Linked DNA regions of Stegostoma tigrinum. The protein of the gene in region 4 purifies or fractionates together with the protein of the main gene of each other region. This does not show direct contact. Links are inferred from orthologs where the notes say so. Each region holds a gene or a part of one and is shown on either strand. Other genes may lie near its edges.

What was found.
Region 1: the proteins of met (region 4) and gab1 purify together in Homo sapiens (affinity purification with western blotting; 3 studies listed by BioGRID and IntAct, with this or other methods). This does not show direct contact. The link is inferred for Stegostoma tigrinum from reciprocal best matches to the Homo sapiens genes MET and GAB1.
Region 2: the proteins of met (region 4) and galectin-2-like purify together in Homo sapiens (affinity purification with mass spectrometry; 3 studies listed by BioGRID and IntAct, with this or other methods). This does not show direct contact. The link is inferred for Stegostoma tigrinum from reciprocal best matches to the Homo sapiens genes MET and LGALS1.
Region 3: the proteins of met (region 4) and plxnb1b purify together in Homo sapiens (co-immunoprecipitation; 3 studies listed by IntAct). This does not show direct contact. The link is inferred for Stegostoma tigrinum from reciprocal best matches to the Homo sapiens genes MET and PLXNB1.

The regions. Positions count from the first base shown.
Region 1 is NC_081354.1:29,131,320-29,139,199, reverse strand, and holds the start of gab1 (GRB2-associated-binding protein 1), read right to left. Parts: upstream 3,007-7,880; 5' UTR 2,592-3,006; coding exon 2,520-2,591; intron 1,938-2,519; exon of another isoform or gene 1,914-1,937; coding exon of another isoform or gene 1,908-1,913; intron 1-1,907. UniProt on the Homo sapiens protein: Adapter protein that plays a role in intracellular signaling cascades triggered by activated receptor-type kinases. Plays a role in FGFR1 signaling. Probably involved in signaling by the epidermal growth factor receptor (EGFR) and the insulin receptor (INSR).
Region 2 is NC_081391.1:12,805,637-12,813,410, reverse strand, and holds the start of galectin-2-like, read left to right. Parts: upstream 1-4,770; 5' UTR 4,771-4,883; coding exon 4,884-4,889; intron 4,890-7,774. UniProt on the Homo sapiens protein: Lectin that binds beta-galactoside and a wide array of complex carbohydrates. Plays a role in regulating apoptosis, cell proliferation and cell differentiation. Inhibits CD45 protein phosphatase activity and therefore the dephosphorylation of Lyn kinase.
Region 3 is NC_081364.1:17,663,349-17,671,049, forward strand, and holds the start of plxnb1b (plexin-B1), read right to left. Parts: upstream 3,005-7,701; 5' UTR 2,917-3,004; coding exon 2,894-2,916; intron 1-2,893. UniProt on the Homo sapiens protein: Receptor for SEMA4D. Plays a role in GABAergic synapse development. Mediates SEMA4A- and SEMA4D-dependent inhibitory synapse development. Plays a role in RHOA activation and subsequent changes of the actin cytoskeleton.
Region 4 is NC_081371.1:34,233,386-34,240,454, forward strand, and holds the start of met (hepatocyte growth factor receptor), read left to right. Parts: upstream 1-4,058; 5' UTR 4,059-4,467; intron 4,468-7,069. UniProt on the Homo sapiens protein: Receptor tyrosine kinase that transduces signals from the extracellular matrix into the cytoplasm by binding to hepatocyte growth factor/HGF ligand. Regulates many physiological processes including proliferation, scattering, morphogenesis and survival.

The DNA.
Region 1 (7,880 bases), on a different chromosome or scaffold from region 4:
GTCTACCTCTGACCAAGCTATGGGCCAGCTGTTCACTAAGAAATTTTGTCTGATAATATCCTTATAAAAACATTTAAGCTTTTCGCTACATTAAATGCAATCTGTGGCTGTTTGCTGCGAGAAGTCAGTAGCATGCTGGAGGGAGGAAGAAAAAGAATGCAAATAGGTTAGATTGCTTGTATTAAATTTGTAGAATTAAATAAAGGGGTTAGCTTAGGAGTGTTATCAATGTCTCATCATCAAATCAGAGTCGGATCAAGTTTCACTACAAACATATCTGTACACAATCAGTAGTGACATATCAGAATGGGACAAACAGAACATGACAGTGCAACACATTATCTTTTGGGTGAGCCTTTAAACTAAGGTGCCATTCACCTATCAAGGTAAATACAGAAAATCCTACAACACTATTTAAACAGCAAGTGTGTACTCCTGAGAACCTAGCCAACATTTATCCTGGAGTCAATACAAATGTGATTATTTATTTCATTCATGCTTGAATCTTTGTTGTGCACAGGTTGGCTACCATGTTTGCCTATAAAATAGGTGTCTGTGCTTCAAAAACTAATTTATTGGCTGTGAAATGCTTTATTGCAGTCTGAAAATGTGAACGATTCCACTCCTATGTCTTATATAGCATACACTGAAGTTCTTCTTTAGTTGAGGAGCGTGATAAGAACTTCAATTTTTTTTCCTCCTTTCTCTGGCATGATTACAAATAGGAATTGAATAATTTAACTCAAACCTACATAGCAATAAACTTGTACTTGCACTTCCTCCAGGTGCAAAAACATTGCTGCAAACAAACATTGTCACAAACCAACATTGAGATAAATGACAAAGTCCTATTCTTAATTATTATAGATGTAAGATATTACAATGGGGAACACAGAACTGACACTTGATCAGAGTAAAAACTGCGCATATCACACTCACATTCACTCTACATTTTTGTTTAGACAGGCTGACAACAGAAGCTTGCTCTATATGCAATACAGAGTCACTGACTAATGCCATTACTTGCCACATTTTATGTCAGAAATCCTATTGTCTTTGCATATCCTTTTCTGTAGAACTAAATAAGTAACAGAAAGCAATATTCATTTCTGAATACTTCAAATTAACAGTTTCAAAAAAGTTACAAGGATCCATTCAATTACATAGCAAAACATTTACTGCTTTTACCAAACTGAATATTCCCTTCACAGAGTTAGTTTACAAGTAGTAAAGAAAATCTTACAAGTTTACTAAAAACAAAAGCTCAGACTCAGGATGATAAAACTGATTAAACCACGTGAAGGAAGGTTTATGATGGGATATTGGTAAAATCCCTGAGAAAAATTCATATATTGCCACAGAACACGTCTTTAAAAGTATCTCAAACAAAAATGAATTGTTTCAAATGTACTAAGTCACAACTATTTCAGATCACCACGATACTAGTCTTTAAGACTACCTCAAAGTTATTCTTTTACCCAAGTAAAAGTAGGCTCCACAAAATTTTAAAAAGTTCAAAGATCCTTCCATTGACAATTATTTTCTCAAGCTGCAGTAAATAATTAGCCCACTCGTTCTTTTAAATCTACTGGCTGAAGTATGAAAAAGTTTGCACTGTTAAATGTTGTAAATAAATTACATACTACCCAGCAATAAAACCATAGCCACTCATCATGTTAGCTTTTGGTGGCCTAATTCTGAGAAATATGTCCGGTGAAAAGCCCCGCTATTGCCACCTGAACGAATGGAAAACATTTTAACTTGCTTCAAGCCGCCAGACAACATGCTTCAATTCCACGACGTGCAGCACTAAACAAAACCTGGGCCGAGAGACATGGGACATCACAAGATATTTCCACGCATTATTAAACACATAGTTCATCCTTCCACGTCGCTTGGCATTGCACCTGCATTAGAAGACATGAACACCCATTCAACCTCAAGTGTACGCAGAGCAGCAGCCAAGTTAATGGGTGTGTCCCGTATTGGAAACTTGCTTTCTGACAGTGTGCGATTCAGCTACCGGCCCTTCAAAGCTCTCACTGCTCAACACACAGATCACTCTAGTTTTCAGCCATGTGTGACTGCAAACCCATGAAAAGATTATAAACATCAGAACATATTCACAGTAGACAAAGGACTCCATTGCTTTTCGAAAGACAGATCTACAAACGTTGAAAATCTGAAATAAACTATTAGAAAGACCGTATCTATGTTGGCCACAACTCAAGTGGACTTTTCACTAAAAAAAGTCACGCACTAATTCCAAACAGTTCTAATTTGCATATTAACAAAATTAAAAAGTGTATGGGGCAATTGCCAGCAGTTACTTTGTAACTACTGCATTCTTGAGTGCGAGCATTATATTGTGCCGAGAGGAATCAACCACTTTTTTTGAATGATAAATTAAGTTTTGTATAGGTAAACAACGTTTACAACTCGGTTCGCTTACAGCAGTGCCGCCGTATTTGAATTTGCAAAACGAAAACACTTTCTCATGTATTTAAAAAAAAACTTACGTAACGTCTCAACTTTTTCTCCGGTGGAGACTTCCTCAGCCAGCCGTTGTAGACGATATCGCCGCCACTCATCTTTCTTGCTCACGATGGAAGGGCTGTGAAGACAAACCAGGATCGGCTTTCTCAGACCCAACCCAACGAAATATGAATCAACTTTCCCAGCACAGACCAGGTACTCCTTTCTCTCTATCACGATTCCACTGTTTAAACAAACTGAAAAAAAAGGAGCAGCCGTGCTCGGGGTGATTGATGGTGGGACAGATTGGGTTGTTGTGTGTGGACTCTGACTCGTCCGCCTTGTCCAGCGATGTCCGGCTCGGCCACTCTCGCGCCGCGATTCGCGGGAATGATTGACAGCTCGGCTGTCCTGGGGTCCGCAGACTTCAACTAAAACTCACCGACTGCAACCGATCCAACTATTCTGTGACGTTCCCGACGTGAGCTGACGTGATCCAGTGTGAGTTTATATCTGTGTGTGTGTTTGTGTGTGTGTGTGTGTTGGGGGGGTGAGGGCGGAGAAATTTGCAATTGAATTGTGGGATTTGTAGTTTCAAAACCCTCCCAGCTGCTCTTTTTTTCTCTCCCAGCACGTAGCACAATCTTTGTTCCCAGTGATTTCTCTTGATGCTCTCCCCATCCTGCTGGAATGGGAAGGTAGTCCTACAGGATGGAAACCGCCTGCTGTAGTGCACAGGGAAGGTCACGGCCGCGTAACTCCAATGCAAACTGTTGGGAGATTGCAATGTGGCAGACTTGGTGCCTGCATTGGTGACTGGTATGTGTTGAGCAGGGTTAAAAACTGGGGATGTATCAGTGATAATGGGAACTGCAGATGCTGGAGAATCCAAGATAACAAAGTGTGAAGCTGGATGAACACAGCAGGCCAAGCAGCATCTCAGAAGCACAAAAGCTTTTGTGCTCCTGAGATGCTGCTTGGCCTCCTGTGTTCATCCAGCTTCATACTTTGTTATCTTAAATACTGGTGACCCTGATTTATGAAAACTGGCTTTCCCCGTCAACGCCGAGAGACCCCACTCCCTCCCCTCTCCTTCCAGCTACCAGGAGGGTCAGAAAACTACATTTCCCAGCAGTGGTGTGAATCCCTGCGTCTTATTCTGGGAATCATCCCGTTTCACAGCCCCTGTGGTTGGGGGCGGGGAGGTATCGACGACAGCCGGGGAAAACTCACTGGTGGAACCCAGGTGTAATAATTCAGTAAATCTGACCAGAATCTGGCTTCTGATGGTGTCATTGTCGATTAGATTCAGCATAGATTCAGCACTCCTCGTTTGATATCTTAAATTTATAACATCGTTCTTCCGCGTTTTTGTAAAATACGTTTTTAACTTTTTTAACAAAAAATGTTTTGGCAGAAGTACAGGGTTGCAGTGGCAGTCATTTCCATTATGGAGTTGTCATGAGTAAAATCATTATGCCGGCTGGCAGAGGAATCTGTGGAATGCGGGCAGAAAAAAAAGTTCCAGATTCCTGGAGCTCACTTGAAGGTGAAACTTCCTCCGAGTTTGCGTGGAGTGGAAGTTAGAAGAACGCAGAGTAATCACGGTGATGGAAGGCCCTCCTAGCTTATGCGTGCAGCAAACAACCAACATGAGTCCCCCACCCTGTTCACATTGAAAATTGTATAACCACCTCCTGCAACACCCACCCCAAACAAACAAGGGGGACTGGTTTGTCTAGTTCAATAGTTCTTTTCCCAAGCTGATGCCGCACTTCAAGAAAAAAAATTAAACTTTATTCATATATATATTTACGTACAACCGGATGATCTACCAGGATGAAAACAGTTCTGCTGGGGCTTTCAAAGGCGAAATCATTGTGTCTTTGTTAGTCAGAGTGCGCACCTCATGCACTGAAATGAGTAAATAGGAGTGCGTGCTTCCAAACAACATTGCCCTACTGCGCGATCGATTTTTGCAGTTAAATTTTTTCGAACGCGCCCACTTAAAATAATGTTGCAACGAACTGTGATTTGAGATGTTTTCTTCAGCTGGGATGTACTGATGACTTAATCGTGGAACTGGTGGGGAAGGTCTGCTGAGTCAGACAATGCAAAGGAGCTGAATTGACATGTAAGGTAGAATTAAAAGAATGCTGAAGCATCCTTTTGGTTAATGGCGACCTGGACTGATGTGAATCCAACTCCTGGTCACGGCCAAATTCAATAATGTGGTCACTCCTACATCAGGGCATAACATTATTATTCAATCTTCAAATGGAGAAAAAGAAGTTTTTATATCAAAAATTAATATTATTAAATATTTTGGAGAATATTACAAGGTTTTGTATTACTGGTATATAATTTTAAAATTTGTGTAAATTAATATAGTTAATTGTAGCAATGAACATAGATAGAAAGAATATGTTAACTAGTACCATATCAATTATAAACAAATTATTTTTGCATCGTTGTGCAAATAAATAATTGGAATGGACATATAGATTATGGTGTGCATGTTTGGGATTCCTGCTTTTAGCCTGACTCAATATTGTGTTTATCAAGGTGAGGGATATCAAGTCGAGAAAATCTTCAAAAGGTTTAAGCTGAATAAACATGATGTGTCAGTAGGGCTCCTTTGCACTTATGTGCAGAAGGTAGACAGTAAGAGTTAGTGTGTCATTTCCAGGTTGGAAATGCAAAACAAATAGAGTGCCAAAAGAGCCTTAAGTATTTACCAAGATAATAAAATGTGAGGCTGGATGAACAGAGCAGGCCAAGCAGCATCTCAGGAGCACAAAAGCTGACGTTTCGGGCCTAGACCCTTCATCAGAGAGAGGGATGGGGAGAGGGAACTGGAATAAATAGGGAGAGAGGGGGAGGCGGACCGAAGATGGAGAGTAAAGAAGATTGTCTCTCTCCACCTATCTTCTTTACTCTCCATCTTCGGTCCGCCTCCCCCTCTCTCCCTATTTATTCCAGTTCCCTCTCCCCATCCCCCTCTCTGATGAAGGGTCTAGGCCCGAAACGTCAGCTTTTGTGCTCCTGAGATGCTGCTTGGCCTGCTCTGTTCATCCAGCCTCACATTTTATTATCTTGGAATTCTCCAGCATCTGCAGTTCCCATTATCTCTTAAGTATTTACCATCTATATTTATGATTTGGAAGAGGGGACAGAATATAATGCATCTAAAATTGCTGATGATACAGGTGGGAAGACATGTACAGTAAAGACAGGAATCTGCCAGGGATATAGATAGGTTGAGTGAATTGACAAAAAATTGGCTGATGGAGTTTAAAGTGAGGTCATGCACGTTTGTATGAAAAAAGGCAGACTATTAAATGAAGAGAAATACCAGAAAAGCGCAACGGAGATGAACAGGTAATTTACTTCATCTTCACGATAGAGGATATATGTAAACTTCAAAAACAATGATAAATCAGGAGTTGAATAAATGGAGATTTCAGGGAAATCTCAATCACCAGACATGTGGTGCTAAGTAAAAGGTTGGACCTGTGGATTGACAAGTTCTTGGGATCTAATGAACTTTATTTTGAGTCTTGAAAAATGTCATGAGTGAGATAGATCTAATTTTCTGAAAATCCCTTTATTGAGGGATGGTTGTGTTAGTTTGAAAGATAGCGAATGTAGCTCATTTATTGAAAAAGGAAGATGGAAAGAATGAAACTACAGACCAGTTAGGTTAATGTTTGTCATGGGGAAATTGTTGGATTTTTTAAAAAGTATTAGAGCAAGTCACATGAGTAAGTTAAATGTAATCAAGCAAAGTAGCATGGCTTTGTGACAGAAAAATCAGGTTTGACCAATCTATTAAAGTTCTTTGAAGACGTGATATGAGTAACAGAGAACCAGTGGATATACTGTACTTAGGTTTCCAGAAGGCATTTATTAAGATGTCACATTGAAGATTATCTCAGAAAGTAAAAGCTCAGGGTGCAGAGGGTATCATATTGACATGAATAGAATATTGCCTGGCTAACAAGAAGCAGAGATTAGGCACATAAATGAGTCTTTGTCAGGTGAGCAAGATATAATGAGTGGTGTGCTTTAGGGATCACTATGGAGATCTCAACTGTTTTACAGTTCAGATAAATTACATCATTGAAGTGATTGGAGGTCTGGTTGACCGATTTACTGATGACACAAAGATAGGTAGGAAAGTAAGTTGTGAAGTGACAGAAGTTAGGTGTATGGGCAAAGATGCAGCAAATGGAGTGTAAAGTGCAAAAATGTGAAACAGTCCATTTTAGTGGAAAGAATAAGAAAAGTTATCTAAATAGTGAGAAATTGCAGAGTTATGAGATGCAGAGTGATCAAAGTGTACCCAGAGTTGCATGATAAAATGAACGATAAAAGCTTATAATAGAGGTAAACCAAGTTATTGGGAAAACTAATAGAGTTTTATCATTTATCACAAATGGAATTGAATACAAAAGTAGAGAGATAATGCTTCATTTATACAAGACATCTGGAGTACTGTATACAGTATTGATTACCTTATTTAAGGAGGCACACAAGAGCATTAGGATTAGTTCAGAGAAGATTTATTCGACTAATAACTGGAAAGAGTGCAGTGTCTTAAGAGGAAAGATTGGACAGGCTAGGCTTGTATCTACAGAGTTCAAAAGAGTAAAAGGTAACTTGATTGAGACCTAGGGGTTCAAGCACATAGTTCATTGCAAGTTGCATCATAGGTGGACAAGGTGATTAAGAAGATGTTTAGCAAGCTTGTCTTCATTGCTCAGACCATTGAGTATAGGAGTTATATGAGATCATGTTGAGGTTGTACAGATTGATGAGGCCACTGTTACAGTACTATGTACAGTTCTGGGTGCCTTGCCATAGGAAAGATATTATTACATTTGAGAGGATTCAGAAAAGATTTGCAAGGATGTTGCCAAGACTGAAGGGTTTAAGTTATTAGGAGAGGCTGGATAGGCTGGGAATTTTTTCACTAGCGGTAGGAGAGTGAGGAGTGACCATATAGAGGTTTGTAACATCATGAGAGGCATATGAGATAATGTGAATAGGAAAGGTCTTTTCTCTAGGGTGGGGGAATTCAGATCAAGAGGGCATATTTTAAGGTGAGAAGAGAGAGATTTAAAAGAGACCTGAAGGGCAACCTTTTTGCACAGCGGATGGTTTGTATGTGGAATGAACTACCAGAGGAAGTGGTGATGCAGGTGCAATAACAACATTTAAAAGACATTTGGATAGGTACATGAATTGAAGAGATTTATAGGCACATGGGCCAAAAGCATGCAATTGGGAGTAATTTACCGTGGGAAACTTGGTTGGCATGGACAAGATAGACCAAAGGATCTGTTTCCATGCTGTATGCTTCTATGACTCTGTGCAAGACCCTGAGGAAGCTTGACAGTGAA
Region 2 (7,774 bases), on a different chromosome or scaffold from region 4:
ATGCAAGATACTCCCTTTTTTTAACAAAAAATTTCAAACTGCAATTAACAGAGAGCCGGGCATTAACAGTTCTGCAGAAGGGTCACCAGACCCGAAACATTAACTCTGTTTTCTCCTCCACAGATGCTGCCAGACCTGCTGAGCTTTTCCCGCAACTTCGTTTTTGTTCCTGATTTACAACATCAGCAGTTCTTTTGGTTTTTATTAAGAGTTAGGGATTTCCCCCTGGAGAGGGGTTATGTGATACCTATCAATATACTTGAGGCCTTTCCTGACTAATGGGCAATTCGGGTCCTCCTCCCACAATCAGTTTTGAATTTCGAGTTTAATTTGTGGAGTTGATTTTGTTCCTGTGTTCCTTTAAGAGACTGTTCCATAATAATTTTGTCTTACCTGGTTTCAGTTCTTATTTGGTTATTCAAAAGAATACAACAACATGACCGGGCTGAGAGTATAAGGTAATGGATTTGGAATCCATTGGGGTGATCCAGTGCAGGTTTGATTTCTGCTGACTATGCTTCTCATTGTTCTAACTTTAAACAAGTGCCTACAAACTTATAATCGCAGAAATGTTAAAGAAAGTCCTTCTAAGTAAGGGACTGTTCATTAGTTAATTAATCGTTTTTACTTTTCTCAAGAGAGTATAATGGAAAAATGATCTGTAGCTCAACAAGTAACACTCTTGCCATACATCGTAAGGTTCCAGCTTTTGAGGTTTGAGCATTGAAGTGAAAGCTGACAATCCAGTGTGAGACTGAGGGTGTGCCAAATGGTCAATGTCCTGTCCCGGCCCCATCTGCCTGTCCTGGTCAATGAAGAAGATCTCATAAAAATATAGGAAATAGGAGCAAGAATAGGCCAGTTGGACCCTTGAGCCTTAACTTCAACCAGCTCATGTCTGATCATCTACTCCAACGTAAATTTCCTGCACTATCTCCATATCCCTTGATAATTTAATATCTAAAATTTATCCAACTTTGTCTTGTCATTACTCAATATCTAAGCCTCAACACCTTTTAGAGAGCAGAATTCCAAAGATTCACAACCCTGAGTGAAGAAATTTGTCTTCTTCTCATTGTGAGATTGTGACCCAATTCTATATACGTCCTCCACTCCAGCTGGGCGAACATGCTTCCTGCATCTATCCTGACATGTCCTGTAGGTGTATGGTGCGTTTCAATGCGATCAACTCACAAACTTCAAAACTTTAGAGTGTACAGACCCAGTTTCCTCAATTTCTCCTCACAGGACAATTTTACCATCCCAGGAATCAGTCTGGTTAACCTTTGTTGTATTCTCTCTTCTGCTCCCATGTCTTATTGTCTAAGAAACACAGATGCAGTCTCCTCAATCTCTTCTGATAAAACAATCCCAGGAATTAATCTGGTGAATCTCCATTGCATTCCTTCTGCACCCCTCTTTTAATAAGGACACCTAAACTATCCATCCACACCCTGATGTATTGCAGCATTCCCCTAATAATTGTCAGAAACACATTCAATCTTACGTAATCACAATTTACAATCCACTACACCTCGATAGTAAGAACCCCATGTGATCTGATATACCAGAAGTTCATGTCTGATAAACCAGATGCCTCTTTAATATTCTTTGGTTGATGTGGGGTAAAGAAAGTGACCATATAGGATTCTGTTTCTCCCTCAGTTAACCCATTGTAGAACAAGAATTGTCATCAAGGAACTGATTCGTCTCACAAGAAGCTTTATTTATGGATAGCTTACAGAAGTTGCATTTCTCTAAATTAGACAAACATAATAAGCACACAGGTTACACAGAACAAAAAAGCCAAATTGACGATGCAAGTCATTCACTTTGACTGGAACAGACTCAAAGAGGTTGGGTGAAGTCTTTGCTGCCTGAATGTTTATGTTTGGGTCCTTGTGCTGTATAATAGTAACATTTTTCTACATTGGGTAGTGAGTGTTACTCCCAGCTCAAGTATACAAAAGCCAGAGGCTGAGAAATATAGAAAAAAATAGGATTGGAGATAGATTTTTATTTAGTAATGGGTTTTGGAGAGAGGGCTGGAAAGTGGATTTGAGACTGAGATGAGATCAACCATGACTGTATTAAATGGAGCAGGCTCAAGAGACTGCATTGCCTACTCTTGGTCTGGTTCTTTGCTTAATGAACCATTCAGCCCTTCAAACCTGCTCTGCTAATCCATTCCATACATGGACCATCTTTAGCCTTTTCTAAAAGGGGGAATTGACACTAATAGGTCCATATGATCAGAACTAAGATTGCCCAAACTAATTTTACACAGCACCTTTGAGGCCAGCGGCAAGGGAAGACTTCATCTGAGAAATCTAGACTAAATTTGATTCTGTGGCTCTGGAAAGGAAAGCACAGGGTTGAACCATGTCTTCATCCATGAGGTTTGATATAGTTATAGAATCCCTACAGTGTGGAAACAGGCCCTTTGGCTAAACAAGTCCACACCGAACCTCAGAGCATGCCACCTCAACCCATCCCCCTATAACCCACCTAATCTACACCTCCCTGGAGACTATGGGCAACTTAGCATGGCCAGTCCACCTACCCTGCACATCTTTGGACTGTGGGAGTAAACCAGAGCACCTGGAGGAAACCCACACAGACATGGGGAGAAGGTGCAAACTACACACAGACAGTTGCCCAAGGCTGGAATCAAACCCAGGCCCTTGGCGCTGTGAGGCAGCAGTGCTAACCGCTGTGCTACTGTGCTGATCATTTCGTGGAGGCTGTCACTAGATCTGATCTTTTACAATTAGACACCTGACAGAAATGCATGTTTCCAACATTTACTACATTTTCAAATTTCCAGCACTCATGGGTTACTCTTTTTTTTGTGTGTGGGGGCTGGTGTGGTGTTGCGGACATTTGGGCCAAATAGCCTATATGTGCTCTTACGTTTTTATGTTCTTATGAAAAGAAAAATCAGCTAGTGTCTTCCCACTGGTGGCCACACCTTCAGCTGTTAGGGCTTAACCTCGAGAATTTGCTCCTTAAAACATCTCTTGTTGCCTTCCTTAAAAACAATCCCTTGGACTAACTTGTCTTAGTGTTTCATTGTTATTCATTGAAGGGATGTGAACAGCACCAGCATGCCAGGTATTTGTTGTGAATCCCTAACTGCCCTCAAAATACACATGCAGTCGATGTGGTGTCAGAACAGGCTTCCTGTAATAGATTGATGAAACAGAGACTAAACAGGCCTTTGCAGAAGGCACTTAAATGTCCTTGAGGCTCTTGATGTTACAGGTAGGTCTGGCCAGCTAATGTCAACAGATATCCCCCCTTGAAAGACATCAAAAGTGAACCGGAGGGAGTTTTTTTTTGCAAAAATCTACTTCATTCATGGTTACCACAATTTTGAAATTTACTTCAATTCTGAATTTATTTCATTAAATCTAAATTTCATCAGTGCAGTGAGATTTGAACTCACTTCTGGAACTCAGGCCCCTGGATCACTCCTGTGAATCTCTTTTTGATGTTTCAATGATATTCGAGGTCTGCATTTGAACAGGTATTAAGGAGATAATAGCGCAGAGAGGAATACTACAAAATTATTAATTAATAGTTCAATATTAAGCCAGTCCCTACTGACAATCAACAAAGGGCCCACAGACTAAATTCTGGTATTGTTGTTTATACATGGTTCAGCATAAACTAAGTTTTAATGAGGTTTAAGCTTTCCCGTCAGTGTTTCAATTCTTTCTTCACCAGTAAAGGAGAACAGGAATTTGTATAGCACCATTTATCTTCAGCACATCCGAATGCACCTTATAGTCAATGATGTACTTTTGTTTTGCTTAAGGGATATGGGCAGTAAATGGCAAAGCCATCATTTATTGCCCATCCCTAATGGGCTTCGATCTAAGCTTGCTAAGCTATTTGAGTCAACCACATTGCTGTGTGTCCAGAGTTACATATGGGCCAGACCAAGGATGATGTCAGATCTCCTCCCCCAGAGGACATCAGTGAACCAATTGATTTTTATAACAGAAAAACCAAAAGAATTGCAGATGCTGGAAAAGCTCAGCAGGTCTGGCAGCATCTGTGAAGGAAAAATCAAAGCTAAAATTTTGGGTCTGGCAACCCTTCCTCAGAACCTATGGTAGCTGGCAAAATGTTAGTCGAGAATCAGAAAATAGGAAGGCTGGTGGGGTAGGGAGTGAACAGTAGGATAAAGGATAGTGTCCAGAGATGGAGAGAAGAGCAATTGGATAGTCAATGGAGTTGATAACAAGACAACAAGGTGTAGAGCTGGATGAACAGAGCAGGCCAAGCAGCATCAGAGGAGCAGGACGGCTGACATTTTGGGCCCAAAACATCAGCCTTCCTGCTCCTCTGATGCTGCTTGGCCTGCTCTGTTCATCCAGCTCTACACCTTGTTATCTCAGATTCTCCAGCATCTGCAGTTTCTACTATCTCGGAGTTGATGATGATCTGGCTCAGAGGGTGAATAGCTGTTAATGGGGACTGTTAGTGACATACAGTCACTCTCCCATGTCCTCGCCCCCTACCCTACACACCAGGCCTTGTTGTTACAGCCTGCCATTACACACTATTTAACAGTCACTAAAACCAAAAACGTCAACTTTCCTGCTCCTTTGATGCTGCCTGGCCTGCTGTGTTCCTCCAGTTCCACACTGTGTTATCTCTTGTAAATGTATTACTGTTATAAATCATTTACAAGTGGGCTTAAAACTGATACGCAACTTGATCAATGATTAACATGCTTTACCTCATATATATATATATATATATATATATATATATACACACACATATGCGCACAGTTCTGCTCTCATTTCTCTCTTCACAAGACTGTGACCACTTCCCTTGCATACTCAAACTTCCTCTTTATACACACGAAGATGTCGGTGAGTAGAGTATATGGACTATAAAGTTGTTTATCCTTTTGTATTTGTGTTTAACCAGGTAAAGGGACCAAGGCCCTTTTCAGTAAGGTACTGCCAAATTCTGAAAAAGTTTAAAGGGACTGTACTCAAGTAAAGGTCATGTCTCACTTGAAATGCCATAAATTCTAATAACTCGCTGATTTCATTACTTGGAAGTGCTGTTTCATTTATAATTTGACTCTCCTGGGATGCAGAACTAATGTCAGCTACATTAATTCATACAAGCAAGACCATAATTTTTTGCAGGAGTACAAACGTAATGTAAGGAGGATAAAATTAGGTGACAATATGGGAAGTCTGAGTGCCAATAAGATTGAGGCATTTAAATGGATTCAAGCTACTTGAAGAGTTGCATCTAATTCTTGGCACTGCTCTTTCGGAAGAGGTGAAAGTTTTGCAAAGGACACACTGTCTCTGGAAAAGATTTATTTGGATTGAGGGATTACAATGACACGGACAAAATGAAGAAGCTGGCTTGGTTTCTTGGAACAGAGAAGGAAAAGAGGAAAATGTATTCAAGTGCTTAAAATCACATTGAACAAAATTGACTGTTACTGGAGAAGCAGAAAAGGTTTGAAGGATATGGGGAAAGAGAGGAAAAGTAGAACTCATCTGTACGCTGCTTGAAATTGCTAGCACAGGCTTGATGGGATAAGTGACCTCCTCTGTGTTGTACTATTTTATGATTCGACAAGTTTGGTATGGAAAATTTATTTCTTCCATCTGGGTCATTCAATAGTGAGGTGACTAATCTTAAAATTTGAATTTTTCCTCCTCTGAGTTAAATTGGGCACTTTTCCACATCAAGGTGTGTGGAATCTTTCAAAAAGACTGTGATTGTTGAGGGGGATAATTGAAGTTTCAAGCCTGAGAATAGCCATGCCCTTGTTGGTCAAGGAAATCAAGAGTCATGGAACTGCAAGATCAGATGAGGTGCAGATCAGCTGTAATTCAGAATACAGGATGCTTAAAAGTCAGAGATATCAATATAAAGCGATTTCATTCTTGCTGTTAAGATTTTGTTACTTGTCTTTCCGGGAAGAAACAACTTGTTCTACACTTTCCCCAGAGCCATGTCGTTTCGGTGTCTTAATTACTTTGCACCTCGGGCAGAGGACTAATTTTCTCTCTCCCTTTTAATTCTTAATTTATACCCATTTTAAATCTTTCTTTTTTCCATTATTAACACCCTTTTGTTGTTTGCACTGGGTCCTGATTCCATCTGCCTTCTTGTTCCCCCTCTGAATCTGTCAAAAGTATAAAAACATTTTTTTCAACACCTTTCAGTTCTGAAGAGTCATACTGGACTCAAAACTTTAACTGTTTCTCTCCCCCCACAGATGCTGCCAGACTTGCTGAGTTTCTCCAGAATTTTTGAAGTTTGTTTCAGATTTCCAGCATCCCCAGTATTTTGCCTTTATTCAAGTGTTTATTGGATCAACTCTCATGGGTTGCGGTATTGACTGTTCTTAGTTCCACTGTCTAATCTCCATCATTAGTAGCCATGCCTTCAGCTGCTGGGCCCTAAGTTCTTGAATTATCTCCTTAAACATCTCTGCCTCTTTATCGCAATTTCTTCCTTTAAGACATTCCTCAAAACCTACCTTTGACCCCCAAGCTTGAATGATCTCCTTATGCAGCTCAATGCCAAAAGTTTGTTTCAGAATGTTCCTGCGATGTGCTGTACATTCCCTCTCATGTTAACAACATAGTATAATGAAAAGTCATTGTTTTTATTCCCACTGCTCTCACCCAACACTTTTGAGGATAATTGTTGGCCGTTTTCTATCAATTGATTCTACACTGGGGTCGTAAAATAGCCTGCAGTGCATCGAGCAGTGCACATACCATAAGACCATAAGACATAGGAATGGAAGTAAGGCCATTTGGCCCATCAGGTCCACTCCGCCATTTAAATCATGGCTGATAGGCATTTCAACTCCACTTCCCTGCACTCTCTCTGTAGCCCTTGATTCCTTCTGAGATCAAGAATTTGTCGATCTCTGCCTTGAAGGCATCCAATGTCCCGGCCTCCACTGCACTCTGCGGCAATGAATTCCACAAGCCCACCACTCTCTGACTGAAGAAGTGTTGTCTCATTTCAGTTCTAAATTTATCCCCTCTAATTTTAAGGCTGTGCCCACGGGCCTAGTCTCCCCGCCTAACAGAAACAACTTCCTAGCGTCCATCCCTTCTAAGCCATACATTATCTTGTAAGTTTCTATTAGATCTCCCCTCAACCTTCTAAACTCTAATGAGTACAATCCCAGGATCCTTAGCCGTTCACCATACATTAAACCTACCACTCCAGGGATCATCCGTGTGAATCTCCGCTGGACACACTCCAGGGCCAGTATGTCCTTCCTGAGGTGTGGGGCCCAAAATTGGACACAGTATTCTAAATGGGGCCTAACTAGAGCTTTATAAAGTCTCAGAAGCACATCGCTGCTTTTATATTCCAACCCTCTTGATATAAGTGACAACATTACATTCGCTTTCTTAATCACGGACGCTACCTGCAAGTTAACCTTGAGAGAATCCTGGACCAACACTCCTAGATCCCTTTTTACTTCTGCTTTGCGAATTTTCTCACCATTTAGAAAATAGTCCATGCCTGTATTCTTTCTTCCAAAGTGCAAAACCTCACATTTACTCACATTGAATATCATCAGCCATTTCCTGGACCACTCTCCTAAACTGTCTAAATCTTTCTGCAGCTTCCCCACCTCCTCAGTTCCACCTATCTTCGTATCATCGGCAAACTTCACCAGAATGCCCCCAGTCTCTTCATCCAAATCATTAATATACAAGGTGAACAGCTGTGGCCCCAACGCTGAACACTGCGG
Region 3 (7,701 bases), on a different chromosome or scaffold from region 4:
AAAAGGTGGCAGCCAAATGGAATGTCACAAGCAAATAAAAACCGAAAGAACTGTGGATGCTGTAAATCAGGAACAAAAACAAAAGTTGCTCAAAAAGCTCAGCAGGTCTGGCAGCATCTGTGGAGGAGAAACCAGAGTTAACGTTTCGGGTCCGGTGAGCCTTCCGCAGAACTGATGGTGGCTGGGAAAGCATCAGTTTATATGCAGAAAGTAAGGAGATGGGTGGGGTAGGGAGTAAATGATAGGATAGAGCCCAAAGAGAGAGAAAGGCAGTCGCACAGTCAAAGGAGTTGCTAACGATCAGGCTGGGAGGGTGAATAGTTGTTAATGGGGACTGTCAGTGGCCAACAATAGGGAGTGTGTAATGGCAGGCTATGTGGCAACAAGGCCTGGTGTGTGGGGTTGGGGGCTGGGACATGGGGGAGTTTAGACCTTAAAATTATCGAACTCAATATTGAGTCCGGAGGGCTGTAGGGTCCTCAGGTGGAAAATGAGGTGCTGTTCCTCCAGCTTGCGTTGGGCTTCACTGGAACATTGCAACAAGCCAGAGACAAAGAAATTGGCCAAGGAGCAGGATGGTACATTGAAGTGACAGGCAACAAATAGTTCAAGATCTTTTCTGCGAGCAGAACGTAGATGTTCTATGAAGTGGTCACCAAGTCTACACTTCGTTTCCCCAACGTACAGGAGACCACATTGCGAGCAGCAAATGCAGTGGACTGGATTCTGGCAAGTGCAGGTGGTGTTGCTTCCCCTAGATGATGTTTCAGCCTTTCGATGCTGGGGAGGGAGGAGGTAAGTGGGCAGGTGCTGCACCTTCGCCGGTTACAGGGAAAGGTGCCGTGGGGCTGTCAGGAGGCGTTGGGGGTGAAGGATGTGTGGATCAGGGTGTCCTGGAGGGAACGGTCCCTGCAGGAGGAGGACAAAGGAGGGGAAGGGAATGTCTTTGTCTGGTGATGGCATCTCACTGGAGGTGGTGGAAAACGGTGTCTGTTGATCTTCTGAATGTGGATGCTGGTGGGAGAGTAGGTGAGGATAAGGGGAACCCGGTCACTGTTGCCGGAGGGAAGAGAAGAGGTGAGGGCGGAAGTGCGGGAGATAGGTCAGACCTGGTTGAGGGCCCTGTCGACAATGGAATATCACAACCGTCAAGAGCATCAGAAAGGTTTCACGAACACCAAGCGATCACAGCCAGGTAATCTGTGTTAGCTGTTGGCTAAGGAAAACAAAATGGCCAAGATTACATAACTTTTCCACATTAGACTGCCATTGGATCCTTTACGTTATTCTGCACCTAAAGTCAAATCAAGAGATGGCCACAGGTGAGCAAAAGCAGACTCAAACTTTCTTACTTTTCAGAAATTGACTCCTCTGTGGGATGTGGGTACTGCCGTAGTGAGGTCAGCACTTATTCATACCTAATTAGGGAGGGAGCGATGAGCTGCCTCCTTGAACTACTGCAGTCCATGTGATGTGAGGACATCCACAGTGCTGTGTGAACAACAAAAATGGCTACAGCTGTTGGACAAGGTCATCTGAGTGAACCTGTTTGATGCCTACTATAATGGTGATAGCTACTCTGTGTTGTATGAGAAAAAACAGGGAACATCACAGTGGTTACATGAAAAGGTCTGGTAATCCAAAAGGTCTGGATGAATAACTCAGAGAATGAAAGCTTAAATTAGGGCCACTTGAGAATGTTTTGAGGCCATCTTGAAACTAGAAAGTTCATAATGGCCGTGAAACTGTCCCTTTCGTGAAAGGAGCCTGTCATCTTCCTGTCTGAATTGTACCTAACACCAGTCCAAAGTCAACGTCATTGCTGTATTCAAGAAATTTATACAGCACATTTTACACACTATCTTCCACTTAGAATTTATGGAATTCAAAATTCAACTTGTTTTCGCACACAATGTTGCACCCTTGGGTTCATCAATGATGATATCTTAATGTTTAGACCACACATTTTGTGTAAAGCACACAGAGCAAGGACAAAACATTTCATGTTGAAAATGTCAGAAAGTGCAAGAGAAATAAACTTTTCTCGATACCCCTCTCCGAGGTGCCTCATTACAATGTCCAGCGTCTATATTCCTTTTGAGGAACACAGCCAAGGTGTCCCTTAGTGTACCACTGCTGTTAGCCCAGAAACAGCATCTGTGCCCTAGTGTGCACCTCTGTGGAGCTGCTTCTAGCTTCAGTACATCCCTTAACATGTAATCCGGGACGTTTCCACATGCCAGTTTGCAACACTCAGTTGATGACAACATTTCGCATCGAAGACCCACTGTCTTCTGGAATGGCCTAGAAAACAACCCAGCTAAGGTTAAATATCAGGATCAGCTATTAAAACTGATCTTACTAGCGTCATTCATATCCAAAAGAGTAAACATATTAAAAAAGTCAACAAGCACATCTCTAACAGTTAGACACTGGGTCCGTGAGGCTACTACTACATTTTGCATTTTAATTCCTTTGTTCTGTAGTGGGACGAGGCAGAACAGATCTGCTTCTCTGAAGCTAATCTCTCACCCAGAGACAATTCAGATAAGATGGGGACAGAAGCATTGGTGACTTTTAAAAGCTGTCTAGCTCAAAGCTGAACCTGCAGTAAGCTTCGATGGTGCTCAAAGGACAGCAGTTTTATAATTGTTATTTAGTTTCCACCACAGGTAACTGCATGGCTAAGATTCTGTGACAATACTGTATTGCAGGGCCAACCCTCTTCAAAAGAAGAGTGCCAGAATTAAAAACTTGCAAGGCATTTTACACAGAAGAACCTGATATTTTGTACAAACACAGCAACATGCAGGTGGCATATGGCAGCAACAAGGATGCCACACAATATACTCAGTCAGAGAATTGCTGATCACTGATGAACACATATGCTCACCTCCATCTCCACAGCTCCAGCATCACGGTGTCTAAGTCAGGAAGCCAGCAAGTTGCTAAGTTACGGATGATCAGCAAGGTCAAAGGCCGACAGCTGTGAATGACTCACTCATTCACAATGTGACCAACCTGATCCTACACAACAAGGAATGCAGAGCTTAATTAGCTTCCTAAACCACAAAAGCAAGTAAGTCTCAGAAAGAAAATCTTCAGCAGAGAAAAAAAGAGCTGAAAGACCTGTAAACTGGGTCACCTTCAAAGCATGAGTCTGAAGTCATAAGAATAAGGCAAGAGGCATGCAAGCCAAAACAGAACCTGCAATAAAAGAATAGACAAGTTCAAAATTGCCTCTCTCATATTATGCAATTGATCCCCCAAGGAAACCCTTGTGGATTTTTTTAAACATGCATTTATCTTGCTGCTTTAAAAAGATGCAAGTGTGTTTTTTTGTGAGAATCAATAAGAAACTGACGGCCCTTCAGATTCACAAAACCACTATCTGCACTAATACATTCAGGTGGAACGCACATTCTCCAGATGCCATTAGGGCAGTTCACAAAAAGCTATGCTCCTGTTACAGTAGCTGCTCGGGGCACGCGTTCTCCAGACACAAGCCACTTACAACCCAAATGTGCACTTACTGCAACTTGTTGTGTACTTTGCAGCCAACAGAAGGGGTTTCAGCAAAAAAAACCAAGTCAGTAAGCGTTTATTCTAGAGATAATAGGAACTGCAGATGCCAGAGAATCCTCAAACTTTGCCTTGCCTTGCAAATGCACATGCCCCGTGGTAGAATAGCTCAAAGCATCCACCTAAGTAGGCAGGTCACAGAAATCTCAACAGCTTGTCTGTCAGGACTACCTTCAACATACAGTCTTGTCCTAAAGCAACGTTATCAAACAAAACCTGATAGTGAGCCACACAGAAAGATATTGGGTCAGATGTGCAATATCCTGCAGTAAGGTCAGCTTTTAATGAACATTACAAGGGAGGAAAGAGGTGGGGAGGGAGGACAGGGGATTTCCAGAGTTTACAGCAGAGTTCAGCCAATAGCATATATTCAGCAGGAGATGGATATAGGAAGGATCCTACTAAATTGGAGAAAATATTTAGAAGGATATTATTGGGAATGGAGGGTTTGAGTTGTAAGGGGAGGTTGGATAGCCGGGACATTTTTTGGGGTGATCTCATATAGGGGTTTATAACATCATGAGGGGCATAGGTGAGCTGAATAGCAAGCGTCTTTCCCCTAAGGCAGGAGAGTTCAAAACGAGCAGGCATATTTTTAAGGTGAGAGGATTTAGAAAGGACCTGAGGGGCAACTTTTTGACATCGAAGGTGGTTTTATGTGGAATGAACTGCTGGAGGAAGTGGTAGATGCAGGTACAGTTACAACATCTAAAAGACAGGTACATGAATAGATTGGGAGAGATATGGGCCAAATGCAAATAAAAGGGAATAGTTTAGTTTGGGAAACTTGGTCAGCATGGACTGGTTGGACCAAAGGGTCTGTTTTCGTGCTGCATGACTGACTCTATAACGGCAGGAGTGAAAGCTTCTTAGAGCTTTGCAGGGCCGGAGAAGATTACAGAGATGGTGACACAGAGACAGGTATGAGAGAATTCAGTCAGGGTCTGTCTTGTAACACAGAATCTGGAGCTGGTTCCTTCGAAGTAGAAGTTCACATGAGCTATGCAGGCTGAGCTTGGAACTCGAAGACTCAGTGAGGATTCCAAGTGTTGCAGCAGTCATCTCTCCCCACTGGACCTTCCTTTCAGATCTATCTCACGTCGACACTCGATGGGAATCTCAATGTGCTTACTAACTAGTGACCTGAAAATCCGACTTGAGGAGCAAAAAAAAAATGGAACGACTGCTATCTCTGAGCGACTGCAACCCTCCCCAAAGTTCAGACATCTCGTGGAAGGCAGGGCACTTTGAATGACAAGATCGATGGAAGCACTCATTGAGGTTCAAGCAAACACTATATCCATTTCTCCACAGGGATTAGTGATGGAGACTCAATTGCTTACAATCAATGTGAAAAACTTGGATAAAGGGACCAAATGTGAAATTACAAAATTGCGGGAGACACAGAGATGGATGCAAGAAAAGTCATGCAGAGGGCACAAGGAGTTTGCAAACAGGGATATCGTTAAGTAAGGGGCAAAGTTTGGAAACTGCAATGTAACGTGAGAAGATGTGAACTTGTCCACTGCAGCAATAAATATCTAAAAGCAGCATATTATTTGAATGCAGACACAGAAGAGCTCTGAGGGACAGAGTAATCAGTGTTCCGATACATGAATTACAAAATGTTAGGATGCAAGTACAAATGATTAGAAAAACAAATGTAATGTTGTTTCTTGCAAGGCAAATAGAATATAACAGTAGGGAAGGTTTGTCACAGCTGCACAGAGCATTGGTCACAGCTACAGTGTAACAAGAGCTTGATAACTTAGAGCTCATTGGACTGGAAGCTTGTCACTGAATGGGTACAGTACACGTCACAGTTAGTCTGCAATTGATTAAAGTGTCTAAGAATGCAGTGTGCTCAATTGAGATACGTTGTATTTTATTGCATTTTCCGTAATGACTAGTTTGAAATGTTCTGGAATGTACCTTTTACCACTCTAGTAACAATATATATTTTTGCAAAAGTGTTTTTTAAAAATTGGTTAGAGGATATCTGCGATACTGTGCATGGTTTTTAAGGAAGTGCGGAAAAGACTGGAAGTCTGAGGTACATCTTGACAGGACAGTTTGGACTGTATCCATCGAGGTTTGAAAGGTGATCTTATTTTGATAAAAAATACTACGAGACTTGACAGGATGGGTGTTGAAAGGATGCTTTCCTTGTGGGAGAGACTCGAGCTTGAGGTCATTTTAAAAATGTGGTGTCCCATTTAAAGGTAGTGATGTGGTGAATTTATTTCCCTCAAGAGGCCGATAGTCTACAGAATTGTCTTGCCGAGACGGGAGGACGGGATCATTGGATTTTTTTTTAAAAAGGTGGATTTTAAAGTCTTGACTGACAAAGGAGCCAAAGACTATGAGCAGCATGCTGGAAAGTAGAAGTCACAATCGAGATTAATATCTTTGAACAGGTTGGTAAGAAAGCATCTTCAATCCAACAAACCAGGATCTTATCGATTTACAGAGCAGGCTCAAGGGACCAAATGGCTGAGATAACACGGTGTGAAGCTGGATGAACATAGCAGGCCAAGCAGCAGAGGAGCGGGAAAGCTGATGTTTCGGGCCGAGACCCTTCTTCAGAAATCACATGCCTGATTCCATTTGCTCCCGATTCACATATCCCCCTCCGTCTCCGTTTCCCTGCCTCTCCGCTTCTCTATCCTTTTAAAAGATGATTGTTAAAACTTGTCCTAGACCTAGCTGTGGATTTCAGATATCCCAGCCCCTCACTCTGTGGTTCTGCGTCGTTTTGTTTGACTGTTTCTGTGAAATGCCTTGGAATGTTTTGTCACACTAAAGGCGCAGTGCGTACCTGTTGCGGAATACCCGCCCCTGCCTGTATGCTACAACATTTCACATTTCAGTCCCTTCCTGAGCTAATCTCCAAGCCAACCTGAAGATATGGTGACGACTCCAAACAAAAAGGTGCAAGTTTCATATGGTTAGCAGCTTGTTGGATGAATGAGTTGGAAGAAGCAATATTGGTGGCAGACTAGCCCCAGGGAATTCTGCTTAACCACTTACTTATTGAAGCTTTACTACAATGTAAATATGCTAATAACAAAAAAAAAATCACATTTCAGTGTTTGATCCATTTATTTGTCCCGACTTGCATGAATCTAACGTAACCTAATAAACCTCCTTTGTTCATATCTTACTCCACCCATCAGCAACTATAAAAAGAGCTGTCTCAGTAACAGAAGCTAACTTTTCTCCAGAACCATTTGCCTTGAGGTTGTTAGTTTGAGCCCTTCAAACAAAGGGATAACACAGACTTGACTAGTGGCAGCATGCAGGTGTCATCTAACATCGTATATTTGCGCAGCACCTGCATTGTGGTAATTCAAGGAAACCACACGGTTAGCCATTTGTTGGCAAACACTATTTTTCTCTGGAAGATATTTCATTGATGAATAGGCTCCTTGATGATACATGAAAGCCACACTCCTGTTTTTTTCGCCCCCATCCTCAAGTTCAAACCATTTTCAGTCCAATTAAAAGGTTTCAGTAACCCAGTAGCCAGGCAAACAGAGACAGCAGCAACCACTCAAGTGGTTACCAAGGTGATCAGTACAATCCAAGAGAGAAAGCAGCAGTACAGATTAAACAGCATCTTTATTATACACATCTGAGAATCTCAAAGGACCCATCCTAAGCAAACATGTCAGCAACAGAGCATCAAAAGCTAGAAACAGCCCTCCCTCAGTCCTTGTGTCAGAATGACTACTTTCCCAAACCAGCTGCAGCCTAGAAAAGCAGAGGCAATGGCCTAGTGATTTATCACTGGACAGTTAATCCAGACACCTTGTAATGTTCTAAGGACAGAGGTTCAAATCGTGCCAAAGCAGATGGTGGAATTTGAATCTAATTTCAAAAGAAAAAAAAATCTGGGATTGAGAATCTAATGACCACAACACCATTGCTGATTGTAAGGAAAAAGCCACCTGGTGCACAAAATGTCCTTCAGGGAAGGAATCCTTCCCCGATCTGGCCTACATGTGACTCGAGACCCACAGCAACGTGGTTAGTTCTCAACTGGCCTCTGGGCAGTAAGGGATGCACAACAGATGCCTGCAATGCCCTCAACCCCTGAATGAATAAAAAAAATTCTCC
Region 4 (7,069 bases):
ACCGGAAGGCATGAGGCCTCTTGCTAAGAAATATTGGAAAGTTGGCAGGTGTATTTGGATTCCTGCATGGACACTAACAATTTGATTCCAGAATAAGATTTGGGCAAGTGGGGGGACTAGGTCATTGTTGCTGCTGAAACAATTCCCATTCATCCCTACTCCAAATTTTACACCATGAAATCTGGATCTTTCAACTCGTCTTTAACTGCTGGATAGGAATCCAGACAGGAAATAAATGTTGGCTAGCCAGCAACACCCACATCCTATGAGATCTAGGAGGACTGCAGTGAGTGACTGCATAAAGTTAACTGTCTCTTAACTCAGTTTCTCCCTTTGCAGGTTGGGTTAGTATCACTCCTGGAGACTTTGAATGCCACAAATCAGACATTCAACATTTTGGTCAACAGGTGAAGAAGATGGATTGAGCTGTACAGAGGACACCTGTAGGGGCAGCTGAAACCAAGTGATTTCCAGCAAGGGCTGCATGTCACATCACTGAAGAAATGGGAAAATCCTAGGTCAACTGAAGGTTGAGTTTTATTTGTTTGGCTCTAGGAAGCAATCTACCCATTTTAGCCACACTAAGTAGTCTTTTATATTTAAATTGCTCCGCATTTACTAATCAACAAGAATGCATTAGATATAACACAGTGTGGAGCTAGAGAAGCACAACAGGCCAGGCAGCATCAGAGGAGGAGTGCTGCCTGTCCTGCTGTGCTCCTCCAGCTCCACACTGTGTTTTCTCTGACTCCAGCATCAGCATTTCTTACTACTTCTAAGAATGCATTGGTTTCCTTGTATTCAATGTAAATAAGAGAAAAAGTACATTAAACTGCGCATTTCATGACACTTAATGTCCCCGGAATATACCTAGTTGGTAAGATATATTCAACATTCATATGGGGAGAAAAATCTCAATATAGCAGAGAAGAATGGATAGCTGGTAGTGTGTTGCCTGAACAATAACCTACCCCTTGCATTGTAAAATCCATCTCATTTGAGCAGGTAAAATTTGGCAATGCGAGGATGCTGCTTATAAATACTGAAGATGAGTACTGTGGTTTGGGGAAAAGAAGATTAGAAATGTTTGCAAAACAATTCAACCCAATTTTTACATGGCTTGAACATGTTCAGAGACTGATACCACAATTGGGACTACAGAGGTAATTCAGCTATAGTTCCTCCTATTCCTTTTGTATGAATCATAGAATCCTTACAGCGTGGAAGCAGGCTATTCAGCCCATCGAGTCCACACCGACTCTCCAAAGAGCATCCCACTCAGACACTTACATTGCTCATGATTTTACTTGGTGGTTTTCATGTGGAAATATTTTAATAGGCAATACTATTTTGAGGTGCCAACTCCCAGTGAGGTAGCTCATAAATTAGGTAAGAATGAGGTATGTTCTAATAACCAGTGGATAATTAGTACACACCATAAATTGCAATGGGATTTCATATGTATTGCAGCCACTAATGGATTATGCCAGTGACTGATCACAATATTGTGTACAAATATAGCAACAATGGCAATTTCACCATTTATTTTATGCTGGAATAGAGGAATATGGGTAGGTTAAATGGCCAAATATCATAATCAATCCAATTACTGTACACATTACAGAGCACACTGGGATGTTCAGGGTAGCCATTAGCTGATAAATGCTAACTAACTGCAACTATTTTGCTTGAAACATGACTTTTGTTTTGATAGGGCTAGCTATTAGCATACACCACAATGCCTTGAATGATTGTGTGGCTTATTTGGAGTATCTGAACTACTAATATGAATATATTGCTGTTCTTATTATGCTGTTTGTCAGTCTGGATAGTCAAATTCCATTTGAGATATTTGTTCCTAATGCAATGTCATCAAAATTTTCCATAAGTTAATGATTATTTATTTGCATGAATTCAGCAGCCTGAAATGATGAAGTGACTCACAGTAAAATGTCTGGATCACAATGATAGTTTTACATCAAAATTAATTACCAAAATACAACATGACAAATAAGCATAGTAATTCCACTCATTTGAACTGGTACTGCGGATATAGGATGTGCAAACCTGCTCCCTGCTTTGTTTATCCTCTGCATATAATTGCATGCCTAACTTACCACTGAAGTTGTTTGATCAGGCATATGTGCAAAAACCTCATTAAAATATTGAAATAGCACAGAGATGATGCTATTCGGTAGCAGCTCTCAATTTCTTACACTTATGGAAAGATCCCATACAGGTCTGTGCCCTTTTAAATTAATTTGAGAACCAGCCATATTATTATTATTGTCTTGTCAAGAAGGAGTTCCTTAAGATATTTTTCTGAAGAGCAGTAATTTATTGGTGAGAAATGGGAATTGATATTGTGGTCTTATCAGAGAATTTTACAAGTACAAAGAAAATCAAAAGCCATGTCAGAAGGCAAGAGCAGCATAACCAGTTAGTCTGTGCGTACTATTTTGCCACCAACAAACCTTGCAAACTCAAACACACCAACCTGAAAGTGGTGAGGGGGAATTCCTGTTCCAGGTTGCTGTGCAACAGGGAAACTCCTATGACATTACACAAAAGGAGGTATATTGGGCTTTGCAGATGGTTATGAAAATCAGTTCTGCCTCAATTGTTTTGCCATCATCTCATCCCTAAATGTCATTTGCTGCATCAGGCAGCTTGCCATTCTGCAAGAGTGCTAACCCAGTAACTGCTTCTTAGGAGCACAACAGCTGACGTTTCAGGATAACAAAGTGTGAAGCTGGATGAACACAGCAGGCCAAGCAACATCTCAGGAGCACAAAAGCTGATGTTTCAGGTCTAGCCCTTCATCAGCGAGCTCTCTGATGAAGGGTCTAGGCCCGAAACGTCAGCTTTTGTGCTCCTGAGATGCTGCTTGGCCTGCTGTGTTCATCCAGCTTCACACTTTATTATCTCGGATTCTCCAGCATCTGCAGTTCCCATTATCAGCTGACGTTTCAGGCCTAGACCATTCATCTAGGCCCGAAACGTCAGCTTTTGTGCTCCTAAGATGCTGCTTGGCCTGCTGTGTTCATCCAGCTCCACACTTTGTGATCTCGGATTCTCCAGCATCTGCAGTCCCTATTATCTCTAACCCAGTAACTGCAACCAGTTGCATGGTCAGCACTTCCATCTATTATCACACAGAGTAACAATTGTAGAATGGTACATCTGCTAAATCCCACCCAACTACATGGTTTCACCATGTGCAGGTGATCTCTTTAGAAGATTCTTATACTCGCTCAATGTTAACTCCCTGAAAATGGCTTTCTGTTTTCTCCAGGTCATCTGAAGTATATTGAATGTTCGTAAACTGCTAGATTAATACATTATGCAGCACAGTTCTGGACCTAGGCATTGCTAACAGAGGTTCTATCATGTCTGCAATAGTAATGGAGAACATGTGCTATGATGTTCTTTCCAAGAGGTATCAAGCTGAATGTAGCCTCATTAAGGTCAGGCTATATACCACAGACCTGATGATCAGATTGTATTCTGGGAATCTGATTTAGGAGTCAGGTTAGAATCATAGAAGCCCGACAGCACACATGGAGGCCATTCGGCCCACTGAATCTGCACCCTCCCTCCAGCAGCTTCCCACCCAAACCTACCCACCCGTGTAACCTCAAATTTACCTTGGACAATCCACCTAAACTGCACATGATGAACATGCTACAGTCAACCATGGCTGGAATGAAACCGACACTGACAGGCACTGAGACGGCAGTGCTAACCACCGAGCCATCATGTAAGCCATTGAATCTAATTGTGAAACATTAGGCTGGATACATCATATCTAATCGTATACAGGAAGATATTGTGAGGTAATCCTGTACATGGTGGTTCTGATCCGATGAAATCTGGCGGCAGACCTCTGATCTGGTGATACAGTTTGGTTCACCCGACATACGGATGCTCAGCACAATAAGAGTCGGTGTGTGATCTGTGAGAAGTGTGTGTGTGATCTGGGGAGGACGTGGTGCAGAGCCGTACACCTTGTTATAAGTCAAACTCGTGGGGGCGGAGTTGAAACCGCCCAGAGTTTATCAGCGGCTGCGTCAGGAGTTAGAAACAGGTTACTCACCCTGAAACTGTCCGTCTGACATTCCCACTTTGCTTTCACAAAGGACCTTTCGATTTTGTTTTGTCATCCGCGCTAGCGAGCGGATAGGGGGCCTGGGTCACCTGTGCAGCAAGGGCCGGCTCCGAGCTGCTCGCCAGGACTGGAGCGCTGAGAATTCATCAAAATCAGAGCGAGTGGTCACCTCGGACCAGAGCAGAGCGGGCAGGCTGCAGCATTTAACGCTTTTTGAAAGAGCAGGATTTATTGAGTGAAATGTGTTGAAGAGGAGGGGAATGTGACGCCTGCAGTGGAATGATTTCGTGAAGCACTTGCCTGGGCTCTGAGAAGGACAGTTGCAAGTTGATCCTGAATTTACTTTGGTGCACAGTCAGGTATGTCCGGCTTTTATTCAATATCCATTTTGCGCCTTCTTGCTTAGTATCGATCAATTTGTAATTTATAACTGAATACTTGCCAGCGTGTGTTTGTTTGATTTTTAGATACACGGATACAAGTGAGATTCCCTTCTTTTGTTCTTTTCTTACTCTCTAAATTTTAAATGTCCTGCAGATATTATCTTATTTTGCATCAACTGTTCCAACTGAAGAATCGGTTGCGGTGGAATGAGATCATGTGCACACCATGATCCAGAATGATTCATCTTCCTGTGTGTATTATGTGGGGAATAAGGAAAGTGTTAAAAAAAAACTTTTATACCGTGGAGATTTGAGGCAGGTCAAAAGGATCCCCAGATTAACTTTATTTCCCTATTTATACAGGATAATCCCCCAGAAGAAAAATCATTGTACTTGATGTGTTTGGGATTAATGGTTTTAATTAATCTTTAAATACTATGTTAGTTCCGAGAAGTATTAGCAGCCGTGCGTGGGGGCGTGGTGGGGGGGTAACTGACATTCCCAGCGCATCTCACACGGAGCACTCAAACAATTATCAGGATCACAGTAATGCGGAGCACTCGGGGATTAATTTATCGGTTTCACTGCGCGCAAAAGCATTTAAGCAGTAAAGCATACCTTTATGTGTAGGGCTGATCTGATCGAATTACAGCATTAGCCTCGAAACCTTGGCTCTTGACAACTGTGCTGGCATTTCTGAACTGAGGTGAGCGAAGTGAGTCACTGAACCAACGAAATGGGCATTCCAGGTCAAGTAAAGCAAACCTCTCTTGAACAAAAACAAAGTTGCTGGAAAAGGCTCAGCAAGTCTGGCAGCATCTGTGGAGGAGAACACAGAGTGAGCGTTTCGGGTCCGGTGACCCTCAGAACGGAAGCAAACCTCTCTACTTGTGTGAATTTTGCAGTGGTTTAGATGAACATTCTTTTAGGCAGTGGTTTTAAACCACTGATTAACCAAAAACAAATCAGTATTCAATGGGAAGGTAACAACAGATTCTCTGTAATCTGTCTGACTCAATGGTGTGATGCATTTAAGAGTAGTGTGGTCCTTTTGCTCACTGGCAGCACAGATCTGGTTGTTCATTATTGTTAGCAAGACTACTTAGTAGTGATAACCATATGCATGACGAGATTCAGCAAAGACCTGGAGATTAGCCAGCCAAACACACCAGAATGTGCTGATTTGATGCCTTGACTTTTCTGAAGTAGTTGTTCTCACCCAGATGGTATTTAGCCATCGATACAAGCTAACAAAATGTGAGGCTGGATGAACACAGCAGGCCAAGCAGCATCTCAGGAGCACAAAAGCTGACGTTTCGGGCCTAGACCCTTCATCAGAGAGGGGGATGGGGAGAGGGAACTGGAATAAATAGGGAGAGAGGGGGAGGCGGACCAAAGATGGAGAGTAAAGAAGATAGGTGGAGAGAGTATAGGTGGGGAGGTAGGGAGGGGATAGGTCAGTCCAGGGAAGACGGACAGGTCAAGGAGGTGGGATGAGGTTAGTAGGTAGATGGGGGTGCAGCTTGGGCTGGGAGGAAGGGATGGGTGAGAGGAAGAACCGGTTAGGGAGACAGAGACAGGTTGGACTGGTTTTGGGATGCAGTGGGTGGGGGCGAAGAGCTGGGCTGGTTATGTGGTGCAGTGGGGGGAGGGGACGAACTAGGCTGGTTTAGGGATGCAGTAGGGGAAGGGGAGATTTTGAAACTGGTGAAGTCCACATTGATACCATTAGGCTGCAGGGTTCCCAGGCGGAATATGAGTTGCTGTTCCTGCAGCCTTCGGGTGGCATCATTGTGGCAGTGCAGGAGGCCCATGATGGACATGTCATCCAGCCCAGTTTGTCCCCTCCCCCCACTGCACCACACAACCAGCCCAGCTCTTCCCCCCCCCACCCACTGCATCCCAAAACCAGTCCAACCTGTCTCTGCCTCCCTAACCGGTTCTTCCTCTCACCCATCCCTTCCTCCCAGCCCAAGCCGCACCCCCATCTACCTACTAACCTCATCCCACCTCCTTGACCTGTCTGTCTTCCCTGGACTGACCTATCCCCTCCCTACCTCCCCACCTATACTCTCTCCACCTATCTTCTTTACTCTCCATCTTCGGTCCGCCTCCCCCTCTCTCCCTATTTATTCAAGTTCCCTCTCCCCATCCCCCTCTCTGATGAAGGGTCTAGGCCCGAAACGTCAGCTTTTGTGCTCCTGAGATGCTGCTTGGCCTGCTGTGTTCATCCAGCCTCACATTTTGTTATCTTGGAATTCTCCAGCATCTGCAGTTCCCATTATCATCAATACAAGCTGTTGGCTTGATGGGCGTCAGATGACAACAGGTTATAGTCCAGCAGATTTATTTGAAATCACAAGCTTTCGAGCATTGTAAGGGGCAGCGCTCTGAAAGCTTGCAATTTCAAATAAACCTGTTGGATTATAATCTGGTGTATCTGACTTCTGACCTTGTCCACTCCAATGCAACACCAGCACCTCCATATCATGGCTTGATAGTAACATTTCTGCCAGAGATAGAGGCTACAAGATTCAGTTGTTGCTACTAACAGGTTCAACAAATAGAGAATAGACCT